Linked DNA regions of Struthio camelus. The protein of the gene in region 3 purifies or fractionates together with the protein of the main gene of each other region. This does not show direct contact. Links are inferred from orthologs where the notes say so. Each region holds a gene or a part of one and is shown on either strand. Other genes may lie near its edges.

Evidence for each region.
Region 1: the proteins of EIF4A1 (region 3) and EIF4G3 purify together in Homo sapiens (co-immunoprecipitation; 6 studies listed by BioGRID and IntAct, counting the BioPlex papers as one, with this or other methods). This does not show direct contact. The link is inferred for Struthio camelus from reciprocal best matches to the Homo sapiens genes EIF4A1 and EIF4G3.
Region 2: the proteins of EIF4A1 (region 3) and EIF4E purify together in Homo sapiens (affinity purification with mass spectrometry; 8 studies listed by BioGRID and IntAct, counting the BioPlex papers as one, with this or other methods). This does not show direct contact. The link is inferred for Struthio camelus from reciprocal best matches to the Homo sapiens genes EIF4A1 and EIF4E.

The regions. Positions count from the first base shown.
Region 1 is NC_090962.1:8,963,348-8,970,831, reverse strand, and holds the start of EIF4G3 (eukaryotic translation initiation factor 4 gamma 3), read right to left. Parts: upstream 3,004-7,484; 5' UTR 2,989-3,003; coding exon 2,978-2,988; intron 2,665-2,977; exon of another isoform or gene 2,463-2,664; intron 2,403-2,462; exon of another isoform or gene 2,387-2,402; intron 1-2,386. UniProt on the Homo sapiens protein: Component of the protein complex eIF4F, which is involved in the recognition of the mRNA cap, ATP-dependent unwinding of 5'-terminal secondary structure and recruitment of mRNA to the ribosome. Functional homolog of EIF4G1.
Region 2 is NC_090945.1:28,151,185-28,158,368, reverse strand, and holds the start of EIF4E (eukaryotic translation initiation factor 4E), read right to left. Parts: upstream 3,004-7,184; 5' UTR 2,641-3,003; coding exon 2,623-2,640; intron 1-2,622. UniProt on the Homo sapiens protein: Acts in the cytoplasm to initiate and regulate protein synthesis and is required in the nucleus for export of a subset of mRNAs from the nucleus to the cytoplasm which promotes processes such as RNA capping, processing and splicing.
Region 3 is NW_027182614.1:2,072-8,923, reverse strand, and holds the start of EIF4A1 (eukaryotic initiation factor 4A-I), read right to left. Parts: upstream 3,014-6,852; 5' UTR 2,939-3,013; coding exon 2,916-2,938; intron 1,473-2,915; coding exon 1,424-1,472; intron 1,328-1,423; coding exon 1,195-1,327; intron 1-1,194. Other genes in the region: SENP3 (sentrin-specific protease 3), read right to left, coding at 4,816-4,926, 6,129-6,179, 6,300-6,383. UniProt on the Homo sapiens protein: ATP-dependent RNA helicase which is a subunit of the eIF4F complex involved in cap recognition and is required for mRNA binding to ribosome.

The DNA.
Region 1 (7,484 bases), on a different chromosome or scaffold from region 3:
AGCAACCCCTCTTTTTCCACCCAGGAAGAGGGCTGCCTCGAGGAACGAGCAGTTTAGATGAATTTTCAGAGTTTGGGGTTGCCGTTTAAGATCGCTTCTGGAAAGCGATAACTCTCATCAGATTAGAAAGAAACCCTGCAAGTCCTTTTTGCTAGAAGACTTGACCTGGACGTGACACCGACAGGGACAAAAATGCTTTAAATTCCAGTAACTCTTAATGAGATAGGATGGCTGGAGAAAGAGGTGATCTCCAACTTCTAACTTCTGGTGTCTACAAACACGCGCTCTGCAAAGAGCTGGGCCAGTGGACAAGATTACTGCCTCCGGCAGCTTGGCCCTTCCCCGTGGGTAGGAGTGACCACCCTCACTCCCCCTTACGTTTGACAAGGACATCCGTTTTGAGGTCACTCAGCCACATCTAGAAGACAGTGCCCCCTCAGAGCAGATCATCTTCTGGAGGCACTGCTCTCATGAAAGGGGCGATGAAGAGGTCCACAACCCGACACATGAGGCAAACTGTGCAAACGCTGCCCCCCTGCTTCCCCGCATCAGACACAGGGAAGTTTAAGAGTTAAAACGTAAAACCAGGCTGGCTCCATGGCAGAGTTTAGCTACAGTGCAAAGGAAACAGGGATATGCTGAATAATTCAGGCACCTCTTTCACATCGCTGTTCCAGTACGGCTAGATCCAATTCAGGAGGATCCTGTACTTTCCCACCTTCTCCTCCTCCCAAAAACCTTCTCATCCACTGCCATCCTCTTCAGCTGCACTTGTGCAGATCTCGGAAATGATCCATGCCAAAAAAAAAAAAAAAAACAAACAACGCAAAAACCTGGGAGAGGGGGGTTGAAAAACAAAACTAAACCCAAACCTCAAGCCATTTTCCCAGCTCCTTCCAGCAATGCAGGGAGAAAAGATGGGGTGGGCAATGAAGCAGAAGAGCAGGAACAAGTGGATGCGAAAGGGAGCCTCTTCAATCAGCTCTGCAGCTGACGGGTTAGTAAAGTGGAAACTACAGTCTCTGCTTCTTAGGCTTAATGACTCTCTACAGCTTTCCATCCTCCATCAGTGTCCAGCCAAAACTCAGAAGCAGAGTCAGAAGGACGACAGCCAGCAGTTAATACTAACTCTGGATTCTGTTCGTTGCTGCTTAGGGCTCATTAACTCATGAAACAGATATATAAAAAACCCACACAACTCAGATACTGCTGGCAGATTAATAAAAGCAAGCTCAGATGCAAGGGGAGTTCCACCTAGTCCCCATCTGGCTGCAACAGTGACTGCAAGCTGGGGAATGTGGGGAACTATTAAAGACCCAGCGGGAGAAGGAAGGCAGAGAGAGTAACATTTGCAAGCAAAATCAAATTTTTCTAAAACCCAAAAGCTGCCATGAAAGAAGGATGCTATATTTTAATTAGACAGTCATAACCACACTCTGAGGACTGTGAGAAGATGAGACTTCTCTTTAAGGCAATCAAAAAAAAAATCCAAACCAGAACTGCCTGGCAGCTGGAGTATTCAGAGGCACTGAGAAATACAGAGGACTTAAATAAAAGTCAGGAGGAATTTCTTGCAGGAATTTCCCTCTTGTGCAACGCCTGTCTTTTTGCTCTAACAATGCTACAGAACTGAAACACTGCAAGATTTTGTGCACTTTTAGATTTAGGCCACGGAGAACCGAAAAGCACGTACCAAGATCTAAAACAGGCTCTCACGGCAAGAATTTGTACAGGTTTCCCTGTTGTGCTACTGTTTCCAAGACCAAGCAGAAACAACGCTGTTGTATTTTCGTCCAAAATGGATTCATTTTCCCCAGAACGGTGCTTCTCACCTAAGCTCAGCAGCAACCATTTTATCCTTCGCATGCATTGATGGCCCCTTTCTTCACTTGCAGCTTACTGTAACAAGCAAGCATCTTTCCATGCGAATAAAAATACCCGTGAGGACCAAAGGGCACATATGCAAACCTGTATACAAAAGCATTCCACAACTAACGATTTTTATCCTTGCCCGGAAACGTAGCAAGTCTTTCACCAGCTCTCCCTAGGGTTATATAATCCCTGTGCATGTTCCCGCTTGTACAGAAATTATGTATTAAATGTCTGAAAAATGCAAGATAAAACCATCATGCAAGATTACAGAGGGGCAGGAACCTGCAAATTGCAACGCTCATCGCTCCCGCCAGCTTTCTGGTGCAAGGAACCGTGCAAACCCCTCTACGCAGGGAGGCATTTGGGCAGCAGCCAGAGCAGTTAAAAGAGCGTGCATCTCTCCTGCAGCCTCCTCTCCGTCTTAAATTCAGCTGCAACACAGGAGATGGCGATGCTAACAGCAGAAGCGCCTTGAAGCAGGTTTGGAGACTGCACGGCTAACTTAAAGGGTTACAAGGAAGGCTGCGCCGTACGCGGCGGCTCGCAGAAACTTCCTCGGCCTCAGCCCGTCCTTTGCAGCTCGATCCTACCTGGCAGCAAGCTCCAGCCTCCGCAAACGGCGTCCCGAATGAGGGATTTCTCCCCCCGGAAAGCGGAGCCTACGGCCGCGGTCGTGCCATGCAGCTGCTCCTTCTGAGCGCCTGAATCTCGCCGGCGGAGCCGAGCTCTCGCGCCGGCGGTCTTAAAGCGGTAGCGCACGGGCGGCCCGGGCGCTACCTGCAGCCCCCGCGCTCGGCTGGCCGCGCTCAGCGCTCCCGCCCCGCTTCGGTCGCAGGGGACGCGCTCTCCGACAGCGGTCGCAAAGGAGGCAGCGCCGTTAAGCTAAGACTGGCGGGCGCAGCCGGGTGGCAGGGGAGAGAAAGGCAGAGGCAAGTTTTCGGAGAAAGCCTTTGCACGTCACTCGTATCGCGGGGCAGAACGGCGACCGCTCCGCTTTCCTGCGTTCGCTGCCTCGCTTTAGCGGCGCCGAGAGGGAGCTAGCCTTACTTGGGGTAAAATCAAACCAAGCCGCGGCCTTAAGAAACAAAGAATAAAACAAACTCACCTAGAGCACATTGCGCTTGGCGAGCACGCCGCATTACAGGAAGGGCATGGAAAACTTCAGCGCTGCCTGTCGGGAGGGGAATTAAATCACGGCACAAACTCCCTCAAGCAACGCACTCTGCCGTTTGCTTCTGGCGGCCTCCCGGTCCAGAGGGACGGCTCGCTGTCCCCCAACGCGCTACCAGGCGCCGCCGCCGCAAGCCCATTTCTTTAGCGAGTGCTTCACGAATCAATTCTCCCCGCGGAATAAATTCCCCGCCTGACGGGCTGCTTCTCAGGATCCGAGGCAAGGAAACCGGGTAAGACAAACTGCCGCCTTGAAAACAAACCAACCAACCAACCAACCAACCTACCAAGTGACATGTCACATGCTGGGCATTGGGAAACGACCAGATCAAAACAGCACCATCGGCTCTCCCCGTGACGAAATAGTCACTACGAGCCCGCAAGCTTCATCCGAGGACAATTCGAGTCACAAAGCAAACAGCCCCAGACTTAGGAAACGCCAGGATTAAAGCGGCTCATGCAACCTTAACTCAGTTGCCTCGTGTGTATGTGCAGGACCGAGCCCTTAGTTTCGCAAGGGCACGCTGTCTTTCCCCTGGGACCCCTGCCTCCCTCGCTTCTTCTACCAGCTCTTACAGAAATCCAGCACCGCACAGACTTACAGAGCTAAGCAGTTCTTACTAAGAGAGACGCGAGACCATTAACTCAGGGAAATCAAACCCGACCGTGATTCAGCTACTTTGGGCAACGTCTAAAGGGTCGGGAGGAACCAACAGCCAAGGCTGCTGCTCAAGCCTCCTTCGAGCCTTTCCACTGCCTGCTCCAACGGCACATCCCAGTCCCAACACGGGCCACCGATGCACTCTGCCCGGCCACGTAACACCTTTTACAACAAAATTTAAGCCAAAAAAAAAAAAAATCAACAACACAGTCTCACTCTTTTCAGGAGCCACTCTCATTTAAAACATTTTGGAGCCACACGGCTCGACCACCGAAGCAGAACGAAGCCAGAGCGTTGCTTCAGGCCGTGCCAAACCCTGCCACACGCTCCCAGCGTCGGCCAAATAACACGTAAGGATGGAGACAAATTCAAGCGACCATGCTCTGGAGAGGTGAAATACATCGGTGGGGCTCTGCTCATCCTCGTGAGGATTAACTAGGCGCTTACCGTCTGTACGGCACGTCAGTCGAACCTCAAAAGAACGAGTCGGCCTTCTGCAGTAAAACGGTAGTTTTATTTTAGTTTTCTTCGACGGCTGCAACTTAACTCTTCCGCAGCGACCGGATGTCAAAATAAACTACGATTCAGAGCGCTGGCCGTATCATAGGTCAGCATGTAACGGAGGGCTGTTGTTTCAGTGGTTTGCATTTGTTCGTTTATTTATTTATTTATCAGAGGGGGAAAAAAGAAATAAAAATGAAGGCAGCTTTTCCTTGAATGAACACCCAGAAGAAACACTGCCAAAGTTAGCAGGAGCCATAGGTGGTGAATTCCTTAGAAAACCACGTCATCTGTATGCTAATACTTAACTCTGACATCAAGAACCTATTTCTAGTTAGTCAAATGCTTTCAAAAAACGTAAACACACAGTAACAAATGTTTTTCAAGTGGCACCCACGGGATGTATCGTGGGGATACTGCCTGAAATCACCAAGCTACGTAACAGACGAGTACATCGTTTTACCCCTATTCTTGTGGATAGATGCAAACCACACCTCAGGAGTCACTGGCTCCTAGAATTACTTATACACAAACTGAGCTTCAGGCAAACGCCATTATTAAGCTCGTTTCAACATTTTCTGGCCTAACAGAAAGATTCTCACCGCAACACGTGGAGTCACCGTTCGCGACCGAGTTGCCATTTGCCAAAGGTAAGAACATGAAGCGGATCAACAAAGTGTTGTGCGAGCCACTTTTTTAATCCCTAGTCTTACTCTGCGCATTAAACGGTAATACAGAATGCTCCAAATTGTTCATTATTTTATACTGGCAAGAAATACTTTTTAAAAGTGCACCTTTTGTTTTTGTAACAGACACGTACTTACATAAATACCGCTCGCGTTTCACACGAGCTCACTGGCTCCATTAGACACCGCAGTTGCCTCGTTTGACGTTACCGGCTGCCGGACTCCCTTTCCTTGCTCCCCGTTTGCACTAGCTGACGCTCACCGGAAACAAGGCTTGTCCATCCCTCTACCTTTGAGGTACTCTTCCTTAAAGCATCGTCTCCCAACGGCAAGCAATTTCATTACTTATCCCCACTTTAAATGAAGCTCCCCATCCTAAAACTTTTCTTGAGATTCATCTTTGAAATTCAGCTTTTTACCCAATAACGTATCATTAATCTTGGAACTAGCTTTTATATGATTCCCAAACGCTTCCTTTGCCTCCCGCCTGCCACATCAGGTCACCCATCTATGCTTACGCTGAACTGAATGGGAACAAAGCCCCAGTTAAAGAGTTTTCAAAAGAAAAGGGGCATACACATCCCAGCGCACCTCAGGCGGAAGCCGGCCTTTCCAAGGCTCCTCTGAAAACTACAGCTTGAAAGCAAAACGCGCCCTTCAAACGCTTACCGAAAAGCACCGTTTCCCTTTCCTTCTCCCAGCCCTGCCACTGCTCCTCAAGCTATTCGGATGTCTTCGCCTTTTCCATCACGAGTTAATCCTGACGGGTTTTTGATGCCTCCTGAAGAACGTTCCCCTCCGTCCGCAGTTGCACGCATTCACGTTTACGCGTATGATTGTACTCGTGCGCTTAAGGACGGCACACACCGCCTGACACACGACACAACGCTTCTTCCTGACTAAACGTGCTAAAGCTGCACTGTAGCAGCAAGCCACCATACCGTTAAAAACGCATATACTATTTATGCCCAAACCCATCTCCAAATCCCCCACCTAAAGCACTTGTTTAAACTACCCACCTCATGAAATACCTACTATTGATTTTTTTCTTCTGGCATGCATCCATTTTGCACCACCTTTTGCTCTGCACTCACCTTCCTAACGTTTGCGGGTAACATACTGCACTGCATTTTTGTATTAGCAAGGCTTTCGCAACCCCTTTAATACTAAGGCAAGAGATACCGCTTCCCATCTGGCTAATCATTAATGATGATAAACGAGATCAGACTTTCATCAGTCTTCGAGGCATTCCCGCCGCCACCCCCGTATAACACAATACTCCGCTACTTATCATCATCCGTTCCTTGCAGTCTTCAGCCCATGTGCGATACACCTCGCAGGCAAGCCAGCCAGGACCGCTAAAGTAAAACTGGGGAGGTGAGGGACAGAACAACCCAACTCTTTGCAGCAAATTATCTGCATCTCCAGCCTCCCATTCATTCCGTAATATTTTAAAATAAAAATCAGCAATATTAAGAGCACCAGCTGTAGGCAGCTGCAATAGCTACACCTGCAGACAAGCACCTAATTATCTGGAGCTCATTACTTTCAGGCTCAGTTTTGCATCTCTAAATTAAAAAGAAATGGAGACAGCTCACTAGCACGTAAATCATCCGCAGACCTCGCCTCACCCCGACGCATTTCCTTCAGCCCGTGAGCCGTCAGGAGTGAGTTATCAGGGGAGCTGTCAGCCAACATACTCGATCAGTGCAAATGCGACAAAAATCCAATCAATTATTTTGCCCAGTACAAACGCGTTTCTAAGGGCAACCTGATTTGGTTACTTAGTCTCTGTCTTTTTTGACTGCAGCTGAAGTGCCAAAGCAAAGCTCCTATTTTCAGCTTAGACCTGGCCAGAATGGGTGGGTTTTTTTTTTTTTTTGGGGGGGGGGGGGGGAATTGCATATAAACCCTGCTAATCCTGCTGGAATTTTTCTCAGAGTGCGTTTTTGGTGGGGGTTTTTAGGACAGAGAAGTAGGGCTGGTTCAGGTTGCTCTACGCAGGGCCGCGCATCACGAGCGGCAGCAGAACGACTGAACAGCCGTGCGGTTGTGAGCTTTGTCCTGTGTGTGTTTTTAACCACAGCATCTCCGGGAAATGGGTTTTCAAAGCCCAAACTGAGAGAGATTAAACCCCGGGTTGGCCTGAGCTGCAAAATATAAAGGGAAAAAATATCACAACCCCTCCCTGCCTCATGTCTGTGCCAGCTGAGGTAGCAGATAACGCAAAGTGAAGTGCCAGAAACACATCTCTGGCATGGACATCTGTATGCTTGCGCACAGAAAACTTTTCACTAGCCGACTTGCTTAAAAATAAGTCTGTATTTGTTTAACAGTGCACTTTTCTCTGCAGAACATCAAGCACTTCAATGTTTTTATTCATATTTTATTCTTACAATATATGGACTCTCAGCAGCGATGGAAAAGTCAATAGATTTCATCAACTCCCTTCAGCTGGAAATTCATGGTATTACCTCTCTAGAGGGGCAATGGCATCAAGAGGAATATGCCAATGTAGCCTTAAAATTCCATTTAATTTTAAGAGCGTTATTTATGATTGCACGTATCTGTATTAATTAAAACTCCTGTTACGC
Region 2 (7,184 bases), on a different chromosome or scaffold from region 3:
TCAACATTTAAAACAAGAAAGTATTAGAAGAATCATTGATTTCAGTAGTATCCCGCTTAAAGAGACATTCATAACCTTCTGCGTTGCCTAAGATACATTTGCATACTAGGGAAGCAACACCAAAAGTTACTACTTACCATTGAGGGCAAAGAGGGCTATCTCACATTTCCCTGTTCTTTCATTCCCTAGCTTATTTCTCCCTTTAAGTATGAAAACCAGTGAAGCTGGTTACTTTTCAGTTACATAAAATACTTACTGCAAAGTAAGTCTTACTGTAAGATGTTTACTAAAGTATGACACATTTCTTCAAACCTAGGTCCAGATTTTGAAGGTCAGCAATAGAAAGGCTTCCATATGTTCACGAAGTAATCAAACTCCTAACCACACATTCAACTAAACTACTCAACTCCAAATCATGCACTATTTTTGCAACAGCGGCCATCTATGATTTTAGCCACTATGCAAGCTCAAATTTAAGCTTAGAAGTGTGAGCCACCTAAGAGTAAAAGCATAAAAAGGGTATTATTTAAATACATTTGAAAATAACCAAGCATAGCTTATATTTCCTTCATGTTTGATCTATGGCAGAACTGTCAACAACAGGTCAGTTAAACTGTCTTAAGCATTGCCTTGTCTTCTACTTTTACTGGGTCAGCACAAATACGTCACTCCAGGTTAAACCTGATTTGGGAACTAATCCTACTGGAAAATGGTGTAGCAAAATAAACTGCTTATTTTTGTCTAAATTAGGCCCCAGATCTAGCCCAACATACGACCACACAAACATGCAAAAACAATGGAGAGAACAGTGTGGGGACAGGCGTATGCCAGCACTGCAGCCAAGAGAGCCACAGAAACATGCCTTTAGTATTGTTTCAATTTCTAGTGGCTATCAATATTACAAATAACTTATCACAACACCTGCCAAGCCCCATGACAGTCACAAAACACACGAGACATGAAGCTCTCTCCTTCAAAAGCATGGGCTTAGGCTTGGAAAGATCAGTTATCAGAAGTAAAAATAAGTGTTTGAGACTGTGGCTGAAGAACATGGGAAGGCTGCTGCTGGTGCTCCAGCTCGCTAACAATCGATTTTCTTCTACTTCAGAACCACTAGTCAAGGAATTCATAACTGATGACCAACGTTGGTCTTTCTTGTAAGTAAAGGTTTTTTTTTTGTTGTTCAGGAAAGAAAACTGTATGACCAGCATCCCTTAAGACTGTCTCCCTGGCAAACTAAGATGTCTGTATTTAAAAACAGCAAACTGATTCTTGTAGTTAAGTATTTCTATCTAAAGGCCTCTCCAAAGCATGCACTGGCTATTTAGGCACTGTAGGTGAGAAGCAGGAACAAGTCACCCATCCTTAAATCTCTCATTTTCTCCAAACACTAGCACAAGGTCTTCCACACTCTGTTCCCCATGATACACGAATGTGTACAATTAGATTGACAGTTACCAGACCGTGTCCAGCTCTGCTTCAATTCTTTAGGGGAAGTGCAGGTTGGGACAGTAATTATGAAACACTGTGTAGTTTTATGAACACAACTTCACACACAGAGAGGGAAGAAAATGTTTAATAATTAAACACTTTACAGAAATTAGCCTACAGAAAGTTCCAACAAAAATACGATCTTAGACCAGAAAGGTGACATCAGATGATAAAAGGGAATAGTGTTTGCATCACATCTTGAATCTGAGCAGCAACATCGCTTTTTCGGTTGCCTAAATCTAGAGCAGCATAACTACTCAGTTTGAGACACTCACCCCACCCCAGGTTAGCGACTGCGTATCGCCTAAGCACAAGGCATCTTTCACCACTAGCTTTGAAATACTACGGCAGCCTTGGAACTGAACCTTTGCTACTCCTACATGGCCGTGAGGGTGCACGCACGCATCCTGGCGAGGGACGGGCGATCGCTGAAGTGACAGGAAAAGTCCTAACTCGCCGGCTCCTTGCGGCAGAAAGCAACATGGCCACCCCCACCCCGCCACATGAGCGGAGCGCGGCCGAGGGCCGCCCGCCAGGCTCCGCGGGGGCCGTTCGCCGCCGCTGCTGCTGCCGCCGCCCGCCCGGGCTGGCTGCTCCTCCTCTCCTCACCTTCCGCCCCCCCCCTCCCCCCCGCCTCGGGAGGGCGGCAAGGTCACAGCCGGCGGGGAGCCGCGGGGCCGCCCCCGCCGCGACACAATGGGCGCCACGGCGGCAGCCAGCACCGCTACCCGCAGGCCGCGCGCCCGCCCGCCCTGCCCCCCTCACCCCCCAACCCCACCCCAACGGTCGGTTCGTTTCTTCCACGCGCCGGTGACGGCACAGACGCAACGGTGCGGGCGGCGCGCGCGCGCAGGGCCTCGGCCTATCCCTCCCTCCCTCCCTCCCTCCCCGCCGCGCAGGCCGGCGCCGCGCCTCGTCTCCCTCTCCCCCTCCCCCCCGCCCCGTCCCCGTGCGTGCGCTCCTCGCCGGCCCCATCGCCATCGCCATCGCCCCGGCGCCGCCCCCCCGCCCCCGCCCTCTCCCCCTTCCCCGCTGCCGCGCCCGCCGGGGCCGCGGGAGCCGCAGCGCGGGCAAGGGGAGGCGGAGGAAGGAGAGAGAAAGGCGGGCGGGAGAAGGGAATGAAACACTCACCGGTTCCACAGTCGCCATCTTAGATCGATCTGATCGCACCAGCGCTGCGGGGAGGGGAAGGGGCGGATTAAAAAAAAAACAGGTTCAAACCCGGTTGGCTGGCCCGCGGTCACGTGAGCCAGGCGGCCGTTTGGGACGGGGGAGGGGAGGCTCCGGCGTTCGGGCCGCCGGGAGGGCGGCGCGCGGGACGCGGCGCCTGCTGGGAGCTGTAGGCGCCGAGCGCGGAGGAGGCCGGGAGCCGCTCGCCCTCCCTCTGGCCGGCGAGCCGCAGTCACATGGGGGAGGAAGAGGCGGGCGCTGACCCCTAGCGGCCGCGCCGGGGCGCTGCGCGGGGCGCCGCCCGCGCGCACAATGCGCCGCGCGGCGCCGTCCCGTGATGCTGCGGGGCGGCGCGGGGGGCGGCCGTTGGCCGCGGCGCGCGAGCCCTGTCTGTAAAATAACGGTGGCCTCGCCCCGGCTCGGCGCCGAGCGTTTGGCAGCGGTCGGCAGGTAGCGTGGGACAGCGCTGCTCTACCGGGCCAGCTCGGCCTGCCCCTCACCCGGGCGGGGGAGGGGGGTGCTGGCAAAGGTGTCCGCATCGCAAATAAAAACTTCCACCCGCCTACAGAAATAATCTACCAGCAATGCAACATTGAATGCTTTTCCGGAATCAGAGATTAGCTGGGTTTCTGTTATTCACAACGTGTACTTCAAAGGGTTTCGGGGCAAGGTTTTTCTCCTGCAGTAACTACGGATTTTTACTGGATTTCTGAAGGGCACCTTGCAATATGTGTCTGATGGCCTGAGGATACAACATACAAATTCTCAAAAGCATTTCAAGTACATTGAAGAATGGGATGCGATTGTATTTTTCTACTTTAGATAGGCAACTAAGTAGGATCTGCAATCCAGTTACCAGTGGCATCTTCTGTACTTGCTTTGTATGGCAAAAGAGGAAGGCCACAACCCTGCAAATTTCAAGTGCACCATTAAGTTGTCTCTCATTGTGCCATAAACAATGCAATTAAATCATACCCGCAACACAGGAAAACTGTGGGCTCTTACTGTGAGGTCCAGACTGATTATTTGATTGAATTTAATCAAGAGTTCCTCAAATCCTATTTTTACAGCATCCAAAATGCAACAGTCTTCGTGTTTTGCTTCCCCAAGGTCAGTTTTTGAATCAGTTTCTACTCACTGCAATGGCATCAAATTTCTTCTCCTCAAAGGGAAACAAAAGCTAAGAAAAACTCAGTTTATTGAATATAACTGGGCCCATTCATGTTTTGCTGATAGAGTGCCTCTCATTCATAAAAGGAACAAAACGTCTGTTGTTCAAGCCAGGTGGTCACATGCTGGCCGATGTGAAAAACCAAGTCCAATTTTGACAACATCAGTCATGATTCTCAGATTGACGCAAACACGTTACTCCGATGGGCATTGCATTTTTGCAATCTCGTCTGTTCCTATTTGCTCAGAATTTTGAGTGGTGGGGTCCTGTCAGAGGAAAAAAGGACACAGCTGGAAAGGTTGTCATTTTAAAACCAAGAAGTCTTAACACCAGGCACCTTGCCTCCACTGTTTTAGCCGACTCAGTCCCATTCTACTGCCAGTTAGAATTATATTTCTGACCATAATTAGAGGAGTTGCAGCAGCTCCGTTTCCCCCACCCCTTGACCCTTGATTAAATAAATTACGAGTGCTGAGAAATTTAATCCAGCCATGGGAGAAGGAAACTAGTGCTTTGCTCTGTGGAAATAGCAGGGTGTAGGACATCAAGCACCAAATGAGACCTACCACAGATCAGATTTTTTAGTTCTGCAGGAAATCAGGAGGCTTTAAAAGATACCTAAATGGCCACAGCATTCCTATCTTACAAGACAGATCTAAAAATTAAATGGAACTATTTTAAGAAATAAGATCCCCAGATAGTACCGGTGGAGCTCATATTTTAGACTGCTATTCATGTGCCAAGGTGACACCTCATCAGATGAACAGGAGAGATACAGCAGCATGAGAGGGATGGTGATACAACTGAGCTCTACGTTTATCCCATGGGAAACGGCCGAATTCCTTTTGAGCACGGAGGCAATTTGTCCAGAGAAAGGCACTTACTTCATTCTCCTTTTGAAATGTTCCTGTCACACACAGTCTGGTGTAAGATCTGCAAGTATCCATTCCTTTTCATCTGCTAAAGAGCTAGGTAGCAGGTAGGGTGTTTTCAGGCTTTGACAGTGAGTTGCGCATTCATGCAGCATCCCCTTTCCTGGGTGACCTAGAAATGGAGGTACAACTACAGGGACAGAAGGATGGTTAAGCATGGTGGTTCACCCTAGAAATCAACCTTTTAGAGCTCTGTCCCTTGAAATCACTTTTTCCAGCCAGGATGGTATTGCTCATCTCACAACAGAAGGGAAATCAAAAATTACAGTCCTGAGAAGAAGTTAAGGGAGGAGACAGAGTGACTGAGATGCACTTTTTCGGTACTAAGGCTTAATGGAAATTTATTTACCTCCGGTATTTATGGAGGATGTTTGAAAGAGGCGAGAGAAACAGCAGTTTAGGGAAGCAATGGGTGACCGGGAAAAAAATGTACCAGACACTTTATATAGGGTTCTGTGGCTGGCGGAGTGGAAAAGCATGCATTCCTTTATCTGCTCCAAGAATATGAGTTACCCCTTGGAAATCCAACTAGACTGTATCAACCATCTCACTCTTTTCCACATGCACGTTGACTCTTCAGGGAATTTAGTAAGTTTGTAAGGCAGAATTTCCCTCTATAAAAGTCATGTTGACTCTTCCAAGTAGATCATATTTATCTAGGTGTCTACTGATTCTGTTCCCTATCATAGTTTCTACTGACCTGCAGAGGAGAGAGCAAGCTTCCTGGCCTGTCAGGCCCCCTATCTTCCATGGGACTCCTCCTAGAAGTTGATATTACATTTGGTATCCTGTAGACACCAGGTATCGGTGCAGCTTTAAAACTGTGGTTATGCACACCTGCTAGCAATTTCAGTTTCCTCCTTGAATACTGTGGGTGAATACTATCTGGTCCTCAAGATTTCTTACTGTTCATTTTATCAAGTTTCTTCCATTCTCTCTTCCAAAATCCCTTCAATTTGCAGGATATCCACTGGTGATTGCAGTTTCTTCCACAGTGAAAACTGACTCAAATGATTTATTAAACTTCTCTTCAAGGGCCTTGTGTTCTTTGAGTACTCCTGTTAATACTACGGTTATCAATTGCTCCAACAGACTTCTGGAAGGCTTCCTGTTGCTGAGAGAATCAAAGAAAAATCTATTATTAGTTTTGATTCTTTTTTGGGGGGACAATCTTATTGTTTTCTTATATTCAATCTGCAGGGATTTATGTTTCTACTTTGTTTCATTTGAATATTACTTCACCCTTCTCGGGCCCTCCTTAATAATCCAAGTGTGTGTATAGACCTTATGTTTCTAATAGGTGTATCTTAAAATAGCTTCCATGCTGCCTGTAAGGATTTAATTATTTAGCTGCACCTTTTTGTCCCTTTTTAACAAACTGCCTTATTTTTATACAGTTCCACTCTTTGAGTCAAAATTTGGTGAATTTTTTGGCTGTTGGTGATCCTGTAATGCATCAAAGTATGTTATGGTCATTGCTCAGAGACTGGCTCTCCAAATATATGAGTTTTTAAACCAGATCCCAACTACTACTCAGGATGAAGTCAAAGGCTGTCTTCTCATGGACTTTCTAACTAGTTGTTCCATGAAAGAGGCACTATTTATGTCTAAAAGGCCAGTCTCTGTGATACATCTAGATGTAACACTTGTACAGGCTACATACAAGCAATGAAGACTACTGTTACTTTTGTATTTCCCGCCCTTGCTGACCTCCTTGATCTTCCTTAGAATTTCACTATCAGTAAAGTAGACCAAATATTGGGTTGGTTCGTTAATTATGGAACAGGTCAGTACTTATTCACTATACTCCTCTATAATCTCCCTGTTTAGGCCTGTCATGTTAACCTATGCAGATATTATTTGACTTCTAGTAATAAGTTGGTTAATTGGACTTGATTTGATTTACAGAGCGGCTTTTCCAAACACAAACTGTTTTTTACGGGAAGGTGGACTTCCTGTTACTCTGAAATCCAGACAACAGAGACAAAAATGCATGAAACAATAAATCCCATAGGGGCAGTGATCTTGTGAGACTGATACTGGAAGAATGCTGGTACATGAATAAAGCTGCTTTCCACTACATTTGTTTGTAGATCACTGAATGGCCACTGGTTATAACCAAAATGTATTGGAACAGCAAATTTTCTGCAGTATTTTTTTTGTGCTATGGAATTCATTTTAGTGTTAGAATTTGGTATTTATTTAATAAAGGGAGAGCGTTCAATGAAGTAATGTTTTATCAGCCACCCTACCTGTTTAAAGAAAAACACAACAAAAATATATTCAAGGTCCTCAACTTTTATACTACTGTTTCAAAGAAATAAATACTGAAAACAATTTCACAATAAAAGAACTGGGACACATTTTCCCAGTGATACCACAGAAATTAAGTATTTGTTCCTTCCCTTCTCCTTATGCTG
Region 3 (6,852 bases):
GTACCCTTGATGCAGGGCAGGAGGGCGCTGCCGGGGGGCCGGGGGGCGGTTTTGGGGCAGTTTGGGGGTGTTTGGGGGGCGCGTACCCTTGATGCAGGGCAGGAGGGTGCTGCCGGGGGGCGGTTTTGGGGCAGTTTGGGGGTGTTTGGGGTGCGGGTACCCTTGATGCAGGGCAGGAGGGCGCTGCCGGGGGGCCGGGGGGCGGTTTTGGGGCAGTTTGGGGGGGTTTGGGGGGCGGGTACCCTTGATGCAGGGCAGGAGGGCGCTGCCGGGGGGCGGTTTTGGGGCAGTTTGGGGGTGTTTGGGGTGCGCGTACCCTTGATGCAGGGCAGGAGGGCGCTGCCGGAGGGCCCAGGGGCGGTTTTGGGGCAGTTTGGGGGGGTTTGGGGTGCGGGTACCCTTGATGCAGGGCAGGATGGCGCTGCCGGGGGGCCGGGGGGCGGTTTTGGGGCAGTTTGGGGGGGTTTGGGGTGCGCGTACCCTTGATGCAGGGCAGGATGGCGCTGCCGGAGGGCCCAGGGGCGGTTTTGGGGCAGTTTGGGCGTGTTTGGGGTGCACGTACCCTTCATGCAGGGCAGGAGGGCGCTGCCGGGGGGCCGGGGGGCAGTTTTGGGGCAGTTTGGGGGTGTTTGGGGGGCGCGTACCCTTGATGCAGGGCAGGAGGGCGCTGCCGGGGGGCGGTTTTGGGGCAGTTTGGGGGTGTTTGGGGGGCGGGTACCCTTGATGCAGGGCAGGAGGGCGCTGCCGGGGGGCCGGGGGGCGGTTTTGGGGCAGTTTGGGGGGGTTTGGGGGGCGGGTACCCTTGATGCAGGGCAGGAGGGTGCTGCCGGGGGGCGGTTTTGGGGCAGTTTGGGGGGGTTTGGGGTGCGGGTACCCTTGATGCAGGGCAGGAGGGCGCTGCCGGGGGGCCGGGGGGCGGTTTTGGGGCAGTTTGGGGGGGTTTGGGGGGCGGGTACCCTTGATGCAGGGCAGGAGGGCGCTGCCGGGGGGCGGTTTTGGGGCAGTTTGGGGGTGTTTGGGGTGCGGGTACCCTTGATGCAGGGCAGGAGGGCGCTGCCGGGGGGCCCAGGGGCGGTTTTGGGGCAGTTTGGGGGGGTTTGGGGTGCGGGTACCCTTGATGCAGGGCAGGAGGGCGCTGCCGGGGGGCCGGGGGGCGGTTTTGGGGCAGTTTGGGGGGGTTTGGGGGGCGGGTACCCTTGATGCAGGGCAGGATGGCGCGCTGCTGGATGGCCGAGGGCTTCTCGAAGCCGTAGGCGTAGATGCCGCGCAGCAGCGACTCCGAGAGGTTCATGTCGTCGAAGCTGTCCACGATCTCGTTCCAGTTGCTCTGCGGCGGCGGCGGGGGGGGGTCAGGGGGAGGCCTCGGCGGCCGGATCCCCCCCCCCGACCCCCAAAACGGCCCCCGCCGCCCCCCCCCGCTCACCTCGATGACGCCATCGGGGTCCATCCCCTCGGGGCCATTGTCTCGGGGTCTGCCGGGAGGAAGCGGGGGTCACGGCCGTTCCCCCCCGACCCCCCCCGCTCCGCTTCCGCTTGCCCTCTGACCCGGAAGCCGATCCCCGCCGCCTCCCGCCGCTTCCGCCCCGCGCAGGCTCCTCCACGTGGTCGCGGCCTAACTCCCGCCGGAAGTCCCACCCCCTTTTCCCTCCCCTCCATCCCGCGCAGCCCCGCAGCCAATCGGCGGGCCGCGCCGCGGGTGACGTCAGCGCCGCGTGCCCGGCCGGCAGGACAATGGGCGCGAGAGCGCGCGCGGGCGGGGTGGGCTCGCCCGCGGCGGGGAGGGCGGGGGGAGCCGCGGGAGGAACCACGCGCGGAGCGCTGGAGGGAGGGGGGGAACCCCGGCCGCCTTTCTCCCCCCCCCCCCGCGCCCCGATGGGCTCGCCCGGCGCCACCATCGCGGGCGCGCCGCGGGTTGGTGGGGGGGGGGGGTGGGAAGCGGCTCCCACCCCCCTCCCCACTCCGCCCGCGTGGGTGGCCGCCATGGGCGCGCCCACCCGCTCCCCCCTCCCCTCCGCCGCGATGGGCTCGCCCAGGCGCCGCGGCGGGCGCGACCATCGCGGGGGGAGGAGGAGGAGGGCGCCCCCCGCCATGCGGCAAGGGGCGGCTCAGCCGCTGGCGCCGACGGAGACAGAGGAAACCCCCCCCCCTCCTCCTCCTTCCCGGGCCTGGTGGTTCCGCCCAGAGCCCTCAGCCCCTCGCAATCGTGAGGGACCCCCCCCCCCCCGCCGCCCGGTGGTTCCGCCGGGACGGGACCGGCCGGAACCGTGAGGGAATCGCCCCCCCTCAAACCCCCTAGTGGTTCCGCCCGGACGGGACCGGCGGGAACCATGAGGGAATCGCCCCCCCTCAAACCCCCCTAGTGGTTCCGCCCGGACGGGACCGGCGGGAACCGTGAGGGAATCGCCCCCCCCCCCCCGGTGGTTCCGCCCGAACGGGACCGGCGGGAACCGTGAGGGAATCACCCCCCCCCGGTGGTTCCGCCCGAACGGGACCGGCGGGAACCATGAGGGAATCGCGCCTCTCCCCCCCCCCACCCGGTGGTTCCGCCCGAACGGGACTGGCGGGAACCGTGAGGGAATCGCCCCCCCCCGGTGGTTCCGCCCGGACCGGAGGGAATCGCCCCCCCCTCAACCCCCCCTAGTGGTTGCGCCCGGACGGGACCGGCGGGAACCGTGAGGGAATCGCCCCCCCCCCCGGTGGTTCCGCCCGGACCGGAGGGAATCGCCCCCCCTCAACCCCCCCTAGTGGTTGCGCCCGGACGGGACCGGCGGGAACCGTGAGGGAATCGCCCCCCTCCCCCGGTGGTTCCGCCCGGACCGGAGGGAATCGCCCCCCCTCAACCCCCCCTAGTGGTTGCGCCCGGACGGGACCGGCGGGAACCGTGAGGGAATCGCCCCCCCCCCCGCGCCCCTCACCGGCTCTCCTGACTCGCAGACATCCTGGGCAGCGTCGGCGCCCCGCCCGCCCGCGCCCGCCTTATAGCCGCCGCCGCGCCCCGCCCCCGCCGCGCGCCCATTGGCCCGCCGCCGCCGCGCCCGCCCACCGGCTCGGCCCTCATTGGCCCGCCGCTGCCGCCCGCTTGGCCCCGCCTCCTCCCTTCCCCTCCCGCTTCCCCCCTGGGGAGAGGGGGCGCCCCCAGCGCGCATGCGCGCGCGCCCCCCTCCCACTCCCGCCCTCACGGGGCGCCAACGCGCCGCCGGCCGGGGGAGGGGCCACGGGGAGGAAGGGGCGGGGCTAAAGGCGGAAGGGCGGGGCCTCTCCTCCTCCAGCCCCCCCCCACGTGGGCGGCCATGCCGGAGCGCTGGGAGGGGGAGGAGCTTTGTGTGAGCGCCCCTCCCCCACGCCGGGACACCGGGGTCCCTTGGTGGGGGGGGAGGGGTCCCGGACACCTGGGTCCCTTGGGGGGGGGGGACCCGGACACCTGGGTCCCTCTGGGGGGGGGGAGTCGCAGACACCTGGGCCCCTTGGAGGGGGAGGGGTCCTGGACACCTGGGTCCCTTCAAGGGAGAAGGGGTCCCGGACGCCTGGGCCCCTTTTGGGGGGTCCCTGGACACCTGGGTCCCTTGGGGGGGGTCCCGGACACCTGGGCCCTTTGGGGGGGGGCAGAAGTCCCAGACACCTGGGTGCCTTTGGGGGGAGAAGGATCCCGGACGCCTGGGCCCCTTTTGGGGGGTCCCAGACACCTGGGTGCCTTTGGGGGGGGGGGACTAGATGCCTGGGCCCCTTTTGGGGGGTCCCAGACACCTGGGTGCCTTTGGGGGGAGAAGGATCCCGGACGCCTGGGCCCCTTTTGGGGGGTCCCAGACACCTGGGTCCCTTGGGGGGGGGGGGCGGACACCTGAGCCCTTTGGGGGGGGGGCAGAGGTCCCAGACACCTGGGTCCCTTGGGGGGGGGCCGGACGCCTGGGCCCTTTAGAGGGGGGGCAGAGGTCCCAGACACCTGGGTGCCTTTGGGGGAGAAGGATCCCGGACGCCTGGGCCCCTTTTGGGGGGTCCCAGACACCTGGGTGCCTTTGGGGGGAGAAGGATCCCGGACGCCTGGGCCCCTTTTGGGGGGTCCCAGACACCTGGGTGCCTTTGGGGGGAGAAGGATCCCGGACGCCTGGGCCCCTTTTGGGGGGTCCCAGACACCTGGGTCCCTTTGGGGGGGGGGACCGGACACCTGGGCCCCTTTTGGGGGGTCCCAGACACCTGGGTCCCTTTGGGGGGGGGGGACCGGAAGCCTGGGCCCCTTTTGGGGGGTGCTGGACACCTGGGTCCCTTGGAGCGGGGGGGAGGTCCCAGACACCTGGGTGCCCTTGGGGGGGGGGACCAGACACCTGGGCCCCTTTTGGGGGGTCCTGGACACCTGGGGCCTTTGGGGGGGGGGGGGAGGTCCCAGACACCTGGGTCCCTTGGGGGGGGGGGGCGGACGCCTGGGCCCTTTAGGGGGGCAGAGGTCCCAGACACCTGGGTGCCTTTGGGCGGGGGGGGAAGAGACCGGACGCCTGGGCCCCTTTGAGAAGGCGAGGGGCAGACGGGGGAGCGAGGAGGGGGAGCGGAGGCGCTCGGACGCCTGGGTCCCCCGGTGGCGTTGGTGGGGGGGGGGGGGGGGAGTCCCAGGACGCCTGGGCCCCATGTGCCCCCCCCCCCCCGGCGGGGTCGCGGTCCCGGCCCAGGCGGCTCCAAACCGGTTCTTTATTGCCCGACAAGAGTCGCGGCCCCGGCGGCTGTACAAAACCCGCCCCCCCCCCCCCAGAACAGCCCCCCATCCCCGCGGCGGCCTGGCACAGGCGGCGGGCCGGCACAGGCGGCGGGGCGGCACAGGCGGCGGCGTCACACGGCCAGCTTGCAGTGGCAGAGCTCCTTGTACATCTGGCGCCGCAGCTTGGGCATGTCCTGCTGCGTGAAGCTGAACGGCAGCCCCAGCGCCAGGAACTTGCAGTACTGGGGGGGGGAGAGGGGCGTCGGGGGGGGGTCCTCGGGGGGGGACCCCAGGGGGGCACAGGGGGTCCTCGGCCGTCGGGGGGAGCCCCAGCAGGGGCCCCCTGGGGGGGCTCGGGGGAGGCCCGGGGCGGGGGGTCATGGAGGGACCCGGGGGGGCTCCTAGGGGGGCTGGAGGGGGTCACAAGGGAGGCCGGGGGGTCGGGGGGGACCCCAGGTGGTTGAGGGGGTCCTCGGGGGTCAGGGGGACACCAAGGGGGTCAGGGGGAGCCCCAGCAGGGGCCCCGGGGGGCTCTTAGGGGGTTGGGGGGGTCATGGAGGGACCCAGGGGGGGTCCTAGAGGCATTTGGGGGGGTCACAAGGTACACCCGGGGGGTCACAAGGGACCCCAGGGGGTTGAGGGGGTCCTCGGGGGTCAGGGGGAGCCCCAGCAGGGGCCCTGGGGGGCTCTTAGGGGGTTCGGGGGGTCATGGAGGGAGCCGGGGGGGGGGCTCCTAGGGGGGCTGGGGGGGGTCACAAGGGAGGCCGGGGGGGTCAGGGGAGACCCCAGGGGGTTGAGGGGGTCCTCGGGGGTCAGGGGGACACCAAGGGGGTCAGGGGGGGGCCCCAGCAGGGGCTCTGGGGGGTTCTTAGGGGGTTCGGGGGGTCATGGAGGGACCCGGGGGGGGGTCCTAGAGGCATTGGGGGGGGTCACAAGGGAGGTCGGGGGGGGTCGGGGGGGACCCCAGGGGGTTGAGGGGGTCCTCGGGGGTCAGGGGGACACCAAGGGGGTCGGGGGGAGCCCCAGCAGGGGCCCTGGGGGGCTCTTAGGGGGTTGGGGGGGTCATGGAGGGACCCGGGGGGGGCTCCTAGGGGGTGGGGGGGGTCACAAGGGAGGCCAAGGGGGGTCAGGGGGAGGTGAGGGGGGCCCGCGGGGGGGTCCGTGGGGGCCCTGGGGGGGTCATGGGAGGTGAGGGGGCCCGCGGGGGGGTCGGGGGGGCCCTGGGGGGGTCATGGGAGGTGAGGGGGCCCGCGGGGGGGTCGGGGGGGCCCTGGGGGGGTCATGGGAGGTGAGGGGGGCCCCAGGGGGGTCCGGGGGGGCCCTGGGGGATCATGGGAGGTGAGGGGGCCCGCGGGGGGGTCCGGGGGGGCCCTGGGGGATCATGGGAGGTGAGGGGGCCCGTGGGGGGGTCCGGGGGGGGGCACCGGCGCCCCCCAGCCCCTACCTGCAGCACGAAGGCGCCGCAGTCGCTGTCGTTGTTCTGGCGGGCGACGTTCTGGGGGGGGGGGAGAGAAGCAGCCCGTGAAGGGGGGGGGAGAGGGGGCCCAGGCGTGCGGGCGGCCCCGGCGGGGGCCCAGGCGTCCCCTCCGTCCCCCCCCCCCCCGACGGCGCTCACCATCTTGAAGGCGCCCCGCCAGCCCTCGCGGAAGTCCGGCCGCTCCTTCCGGTCGGCCTCGGCCTGCAGGTAGCGGCAGATGTGCTGCCGCGGGGGCGGGGTCAGTGCCCGGGGCAGGGGGCGGGGTCAGCCGGGGCCCCGCCCACCCGGCCCCGCCCACCCCCCCGGAGCGTTGGGAGGGAGGGAGGGAGGGGGAAGGAGAGGGGGTGGAAGCAGCTGGTGTGGCCCCGCCCCCCGCAGGAGGCCCCGCCCCCGGCGCCGAGGCCCCGCCCACCTCGGGGTGGGGGGAAAGCAGCCACTGAGAAGACACGGGGCAGGGCCTGAGCACATGGTGTGGCCCCGCCCCTCCACCGGGCCCCGCCCACCCCAGGAGGCCCCGCCCACCCCAGGAGGCCCCGCCCACCCCAGGAGGCCCCGCCCACCCCACCAGCTATTGGCAGCACGCTGGGGGCTGAAGCACATGGGGTGGCCCCGCCCTCCGGCTCCCAGGCCCTGCCCCCTGCTCCCAGGCTCCGCCCACCCCAGGCCCCGCCCACCTTGGGGCAGCGGCGGT